Linked DNA regions of Bombyx mori. The protein of the gene in region 1 purifies or fractionates together with the protein of each later gene. This does not show direct contact. Links are inferred from orthologs where the notes say so. Each region holds a gene or a part of one and is shown in the gene's direction. Other genes may lie near its edges. The genes, in order: synaptojanin-1 and endophilin-A.

Region 1 (3,940 bases):
CGTATTTAATTTTGTAAGTAAATACGCCTTAAAAGACTAAAACTGGCCGCATAAATACGCTTAACCTAATGATATTATTTAAGTGCATTATTTTTGTACGAGTAATTAATGACGCACTATAAAATCACTAGAATGTAGGCAATGAAATAAATTAAAAAAATCTTTAGAAATTCATTTTGGTATCTATAATCCATTTTGTTAAATTGTGTTTAAAATCTTTAATTAGGTAGGTACCAGATGGTGGGTGTCACTGAATAGTAGATACGTAGTAATCAGAGCGTGGTTTTAAGCGATATAGGTAGGTACTTAAAAAATTCGATCATCGACTTTTTGGCGGGAACGCGAGGAGCGAAGTTGTTGAATTAATTTATTTTATCTATTTAGTGTTTCTTTAGATTTAAATGAGTAATTACGGTGGTTTATTTACTGTTTAGTATCTGTGAAAGTGCAAAAATGTGGTAAAATTAAACAAAGCAGTTGGACGTAGCTTCTCGGGATTCTCCAAAAAGTCTCAGTAAATTACCACCATTTTATTGAGATTATATTTCATCCCATATCTCATCTCATTTCATGCCATGTTTCATTTTAATAAATTTCATTTCACTTCCTAATGCCGTATCGTCTCATTGCTTCGACGATGTGGTGTTGTGTTCCAATCGTTACATAAATCAACATTAAATTATTAGAAGAAAAAAAACGCGGGAAACATTGGAATTTGGCGGACGCTGTTTTTGTGCTGAATTTGCTTTTCCTTCGTTTTTTATTATTCATAAACTTTACAGCTTAAAGGTTTTAATTAAAACGGGCGAATTATAAAAATCTTATTACTTGACGCTGGCTAACGCACAAACTGTACCAGAGCCAAAAAATAAAGAAGAAGATGAAGAAGTCGATCATCGAAAAGCAGACAAGTAATGTATTATACCTGGGTAGTCTTTGAATGAAAGTAGGTACCGTACTAATAGTATCTATTGAAAAGTAACCTCATACCAAAAAGAGTTTCAAATTTAATTTAGATAGAGTAAACGTTAAGTTGATTTCCGCCTGTTACATAACACTTGTCTTTAAATAAAGTGAGTGTACCAATCGTTAGTGTAATACTTTTATTGTTGGGTAGGTCTCGTTAACGTACTAACCGCAACGTTAACGGCGAAAATGCAAATCAAAACAGTGTTGTCATGAAATTAATGTTCGTTATTATAAGTCGTGCTAAGAGGATGGTAATAATGCATAGATAGATGTAAACATTTCATATATATGAAGCTTAATATTCCAGAAAACAATGGGTATGGGAATAAGAATATTATATAAATTTTTAAATATACCATGCTAGAAATTCATTTTTGTAACAGTTGTGTATTTTCAATGATATTTTTTCAATTATAAAATGACATCCATTTTTAATCTTATTTTCTTGTAACATGTGGTCCAAGACTCAATTGTACCGTAAATCAATATAGAACGGATTGCTGGTGTGCTGCCATAGTAATAGAGTAATAGATAAAGGTCGATGGGTTTTAACTCAGCAAGCTCAAAAATGTCCCAACACCAGTAGGTAATTACGCAATTCACAAGTTTAACGGATTTGATTTTTATTTTCCAATGCAATTCTTTTCTCGTTGAAATCGTTATGGAACTCGACTTAGATATTTTCTAATAACTGATAAATAACTAACTAACCCGCAAGACTCAGGCGTGTTTTGAACTCCTGCTTAGTCGCAGCACTCGATACAAATAAAGCGTCTTACCATTGTTTTAAAGCTATGTACGTTTACAATAAGAAAGCTTCCTGATTTCCTGATTTAAAAAGCTATTCCAAAAAGCATACGTAAAACTTGAAAAGTGTTAAGCGCTTGTCAATTTTAAGCCGTTTGTCACACCACTAGTAGCATAGATTAAATTGGATAAGCACTATTCACTATTCTATGGGTGGATTGATTTGATTGAATTCATTCTGTCCACCAAGTCGAAGATTGGTCTCGGTTATTCTCATATAAATTTATAATTGTTATTTGACTTATCTTAAAAGCTAATGGCGTGATAATCGCCAAATAGAAACTAAACATGGCTATGTCCAAAGGCTTTAAAGTTCTGGAGAAATCATCGCCCCCCAGTCCGTATAGCATAATATTACAACACAGAAACAAAGACACTGCACTTCTTTTCGAATCTCAAGCCGTTGTTTCCTTATCATCGCAAGAAACAGAAACTTTAAGGAAACAATACCATAAAGTTGCAGACGCTTATGGATGTCTTGGAGTACTTCAGCTAAATTCTGGTGAAAGCTGTCTTCTGTATCTTGTGTTAATCACCGGATGCTCTTCTGTTGGTAAAGTGGGGGATTTAGAAGTATTTAAGATAACGCAAACTCAATTTCTGCCACTGTTCTACCAATCGCAAGGTGATGATAAGGTTTCGGAAGTCCGAAAATTAATTAATTCAGGTACATTTTATTTCTCTTGGTATTCTGGCAAAAACAATGATAATCTTTTTGATTTGACTCTGTGTGCCCAAAGAAAAAGTAAAGGAGCCAACCCTGATAATAGGTTCTTTTGGAATAGAACACTGTACATACATCTAATCAGATATGGCATAGATTGTGATGAGTGGCTAACTCGAGCAATGTGTGGATCTGTAGAAATACGCACTATTTATGTTGGGCATCGTCAAGCTAGGGCTGTACTTGTCTCAAGACTTAGTTGTGAAAGGGCTGGAACTAGATTTAATGTGCGAGGTTGTAATGATGATGGAAATGTGGCAAACTTTGTAGAAACTGAACAAGCTGTTTACATTGATGATTCTGTAGCATCTTATATACAAACAAGAGGGTCTGTGCCATTGTTTTGGGAACAACCTGGAATACAAGTTGGCTCACACAAAGTAAAAATGTCAAGAGGCTATGATGCATCAACAAGTGCTTGTGAGAGACATTTTGCCCAGTTAAAGCGTAATTATGGATCTGTAATAGTTGTAAATCTGCTTGGATCTAACATGATTGGGGGTAGTGAAGGTGAGGCAACATTAAGTAATGCTTTCCAGAAACACATTAATGAATCTCCACATTCTGATGTCCTACAAATTGTTTTTGACTATCATCAGGAAGTAAGAGCAACATCCCAAGAGATAGCTCTATCAAAATTTAAACAGAATATTGAGAAATATTATGATGAGATTGGGATTTTTAGTGCAAAAGGGTCAGACATTTATAATATTCAAAAGGGAGTTATAAGGACCAATTGCTTGGATTGCTTAGATAGAACAAATTCTATTCAGACATTTATTGGTTTAGAAATGCTTGCTGTTCAATTAATGCTACTACAATGTCTTGATAAAAAACAAAATGTTAATAGATTTGAAGAAGTTTACAAACAGATGTGGGTGAATAATGGAAATGAAATATCTAAAATTTATGCTGGAACTGGTGCAATTCAAGGAGGCTCCAAACTAATTGATGGAGCTCGATCTGCTGCCAGGACTATCCAGAACAATTTATTAGACAACTCAAAGCAAGAAGCAATTGATATTTTATTACTTGGTTCAACATTAAACTCTGAACTGGCAGACCGCACAAGAATACTGTTGCCATCTAACATACTACACACTTCTACAGCTATCTTGAGGGAAATGTGTCGTAGAACGAATGAATTCACTCAACCTTCAACTCTTAGAATAACTATTGGCACATACAATGTGAATGGTGGTAAACATTTCAGAAGTCTTGCTTATAAGGATGTTTCATTATCTGACTGGTTATTAGATTGTCCAAATTCATCTTTGGTAAATACAGTCAATCTGAAGGATCATCCTTCTGACATATTTGCAATAGGCTTTGAAGAAATAGTTGATTTAAATGCTAGTAATATTATGGCAGCTAGTACTGATAATGCAAAAGCATGGAGTGAGGAACTGGAAAAAGTGTTAGGCAGAGATGCATCTTATA
Region 2 (3,940 bases), on another chromosome or scaffold:
CAGGAGAACGACGTGATCACGCTGATCAACAAGGTGGACGACAACTGGTTCGAGGGCAGCCTGAACGGCAAGACGGGCTACTTCCCCATCAGCTACGTTCAGGTCAACGTTCCACTGCCCAATATGTAAACTTGGAACATGTAGGTGTAACACAAACATTCACTTTTAATTGAATATGCAATTTCAAAAAGGGCACATGTCGCATATTCTGTCAAATATGTTTTTTCATATACATGTAGTTTTGAGGCTTACCTACACCCATTTTATAATAATTCCACTAATTTTCAATTGCTAATAAACACTAAAATATATCTCAAAAGTAAATATTTTAAATTTTACACTGCTTTAGAAAATGATCAGTTTTTTTCATTTCCTGAACATTTTACATTATAAGAGATGTGCCCTTTTCGAAATTACATATTTAATTCATTTAAGGCATTTTAAAAATGTGTGTTTAATTTTACATTAGATCATACGGAATACCCTTACCCTTAACTATGAAATATGATTAACTGATCGTTTTTCTGACGTAACTTGTGTTACACCATTGAAATAATCTTCATATACTAAACGCAGCTACTACATAAAGGATTAATATGAATTGTTCGTAACTTCAATCGTGTCAAAAGCTCAATGAAATTATCCAATCAAGTGTATTTTATATACATTGTGTGAATACAGACTTTTTTGTTTAGAAGAAGTCTTCCCGATATTACACTCCATTTTAGAATTGTTTTTAAAAAGAAAATTCAAACAGATCTATTGTGTTATATAATTAATAATAAATAAAAACCCGTATAATACGCCAAAGAATACCTTAATGATAATATTATTAAATTCAATATACGTGTATATGTATTATTTTATTTCCTTTTTTTTATACACATTATTTTCCAAATGAATTGAGGTCGTATTTTGTAATAAATCTTATTAGTTTAACAAAGACGTACGCTATTATAATTTATACATTTTTCATGTTGCCATTTTATTCGTGACTGCTATTGTAGGCCTACCGCTTAATCGATACTGGTGCGGGGCAGGGGCGAGCTAGTGTGGTGATGTCACGTTTATGTAAAAGACAATCGCCCATACCATTGGGAATACAAGGCATTTCCCTGATTAAGAAAACTCGAAACAATTTAAATTGATATGATTTCGTCATTCTTTTCATGCGACCATTCAAGTGAAGTATGATAAACCATTAATAAGGGCAGTTATTAAAATCAAAGTATGAGATACCGAATAAATCAGGTGACTCCTTAATTTTTTTGGCTACTAATCATATAACACGTTCTTTCACATTTTAAATATATTTTTTATGGAATGGAATGTAATGGGACCTGGTAATGAGACTTTTAAGCTGAGTCAATTTATTTTCTTCGTATATTCTGTTATAATATGATAAATGATATGAAGCGAAATGAGATGAAGTTGATTAACTTGAGACTTTAATCAATTGGTGTGAAAAACCACCGTTATAACACATTTAAGTCTCAAGGATCACTAAATTAACAAAATAAAACAATTCACAATTCACTTCGCTACTCGCGTTTCACCCAGATGTCTCACTTAGACCCTCATATATTATAAAGTACGTAATATTTGCTAGAAAAGATTAAGCGATATTGTTGATCTATTACTCCAGAAGCCGCCCTCGGTAGAGCGGTAGGTCTATTTTATTTTAGTAAATTAGTTGTAAGTTTGGAACAAATTAATTTGTTTCCGTATGTAGATATTAAAATATACCAGTTATATTATTTAGTTACATTAAGACTATTGTTTAATATGATTGTAGAATCGAAAAACGTTGGTTAAAACTTTGAGCTTGTCAAAATACTATCATAAAATTAAAAGGTATAATGAATCTCAGATAAACATAGTTATGATAGTCAAAGAAATTAAAACACCAATTATTCATGTTTCCATAAGAAAAACACTGTTATCGTAATGAGAATGCGGTAAAAATTAAAACGACTTTTTGGCGTTATGCTTACATTTTCCTTAATTCATTGTTGATTTTTTCCTCTCCATAGCTCGAAGTTTTGATGTAGGTATGTGATTTACAGCTATTGCGATGCGTAGGGCAGCATTGATTCCGAACAGTGATATTATGTGTATTTACTCTATAATAAACATATTTTACATGTAGTTTATAAAATAATTTTCTTGTGTAATGTTTTATTTAGAATACCTTCTACTACTATCTACTTATTTGTGTGATGAATTGTTTCATCATTTATTTTGTTAAATACACGGCACTACTTAATTGACTAGAATGATTGATGTAAAACTAGTTAAATGTTTGAGATTAGAGATTTTGTGGTTAATTAGTTTGTCTACATAGAAATTACTGTATGCTCATATTGCTGCATGATTGTGTATGTTAAGATGACGGTCTTGCCACCAACATTGAGTTTAAATTTTTACGTGAATTAATATAAATAATTTCATTTATGTTTTAAGGAGTTTTCATATTAGGTGTATTTTCAAATGTTATATTGTCACCTTCTTGGATATCAAATTTAATATGTTTAACGTAATTTACTCCCAAAAATAAATATTAAAAAAAATCAATATTATCATATACGAATATAGAACAATTATAGTAAAAAATATTTTTTGAACTCGCACACTCATTTCGATTTAATTCACTTATAAATACATATTTAAAAATCGATTAAAATATCCGAGTGGAGTACATTTTTCATCATCCCTAAAATCACATATGCTAGTATTTAAATAAATAACAGTAATCATAATAAATATAAATGTTGTCAATGTGGATGTTGCAAAAGTTAATTAAATTTCATCGCATCATTTGTGTAGTAATCGGAACTCATTCGATCATGTTTCTGGCATACAAAAGACAATACCTAGATCTAATGTTAGTCGTACGTAAGTTCATAAATGAAATGTTCTTCAAGTGTCTCTTAATATAAGTATATCGAGTATATTATAATAATTATCTTCAATGTTACAAGAATCGATATTTTAATGTTCAAAAATACCGCGATGCGGATATAATTATTGCATGTGTCCTTCGTCTTAAAATTAATACTATTCACATATATTCATTTTGAATATGACTGTTATTGTTTATTAAAATTTCTAATGGCTTGCAAAAATTGTTGGGAACGTAAAGTTCATTAGGTATGTTGTCGCTTCGCACCGTGTACGTTGTATTATGCAAAGGAATCAATTTGTTTCCAAAATACTCGGGACAGAGTCGCCCGTGTAGTAGACAAATAAAAACAACATATAAAAATTATATTCTTGAAAATACAACCACTTATTTAGTAATCAAAATCTGTGATGCGCAAGTAATAACACTAAAATACTAAAATTTGCAAATAAAATTAGTCTGCATTATTTATCACATAAAACAAATTTGTATAGTTTTTGGGATCTTCTATCAGTAGATTCTAATATTCGCTAACGGTGCGGCCACACGAGTTGTCTTGTTACTATGTGCTTGTTCATGTTACTGTAATCTTGAATATTGTGTAATTTTAATAGGTGTATCTTGACAAATTGCCAATTGTAAAGCAATAAAATTGGTTTGTATTTGAAAATATCCAAAACGCTCGTTTTCGCCTATTAATAAAATGTTAACAATTAAAATTAAGTTAAGCGTTTTCATTTCTTATTATAATCCCCTAAGTAGTGTTAGAATCACCATGTAAAACAAGAAATCATGAGTCCCACCTTTTACAGCTAGGTCTATTTCTACAGAAATTTCTACTAGAAACAGGCCATTCGTCCCGGTTTGAAGTCTGGGGCAACAATTGCACTATTAAAACTGAGACATAGAACTCATATGTCAAAGTGACAGGTGGTGTTCCATCCAGGTGGGCCGTGAATTCGTTCGCATATCTGTACAATAAACAACAAAAGAAAAAAAGACTGAAAAAGAATTGTATACATCTATAGAGATTTATAA

Evidence for each region.
Region 2: the proteins of synaptojanin-1 (region 1) and endophilin-A purify together in Drosophila melanogaster (affinity purification with western blotting; 3 studies listed by BioGRID). This does not show direct contact. The link is inferred for Bombyx mori from reciprocal best matches to the Drosophila melanogaster genes Synj and EndoA.

Annotation. Positions count from the first base shown.
Region 1 is NC_085118.1:11,391,701-11,395,640, reverse strand, and holds the start of synaptojanin-1, read left to right. Parts: upstream 1-1,493; 5' UTR 1,494-2,064; coding exon 2,065-3,940.
Region 2 is NC_085127.1:9,706,590-9,710,529, forward strand, and holds the end of endophilin-A, read left to right. Parts: intron 1-3; coding exon 4-129; 3' UTR 130-3,625; downstream 3,626-3,940. UniProt on the Drosophila melanogaster protein: Required presynaptically at the neuromuscular junction. Implicated in synaptic vesicle endocytosis.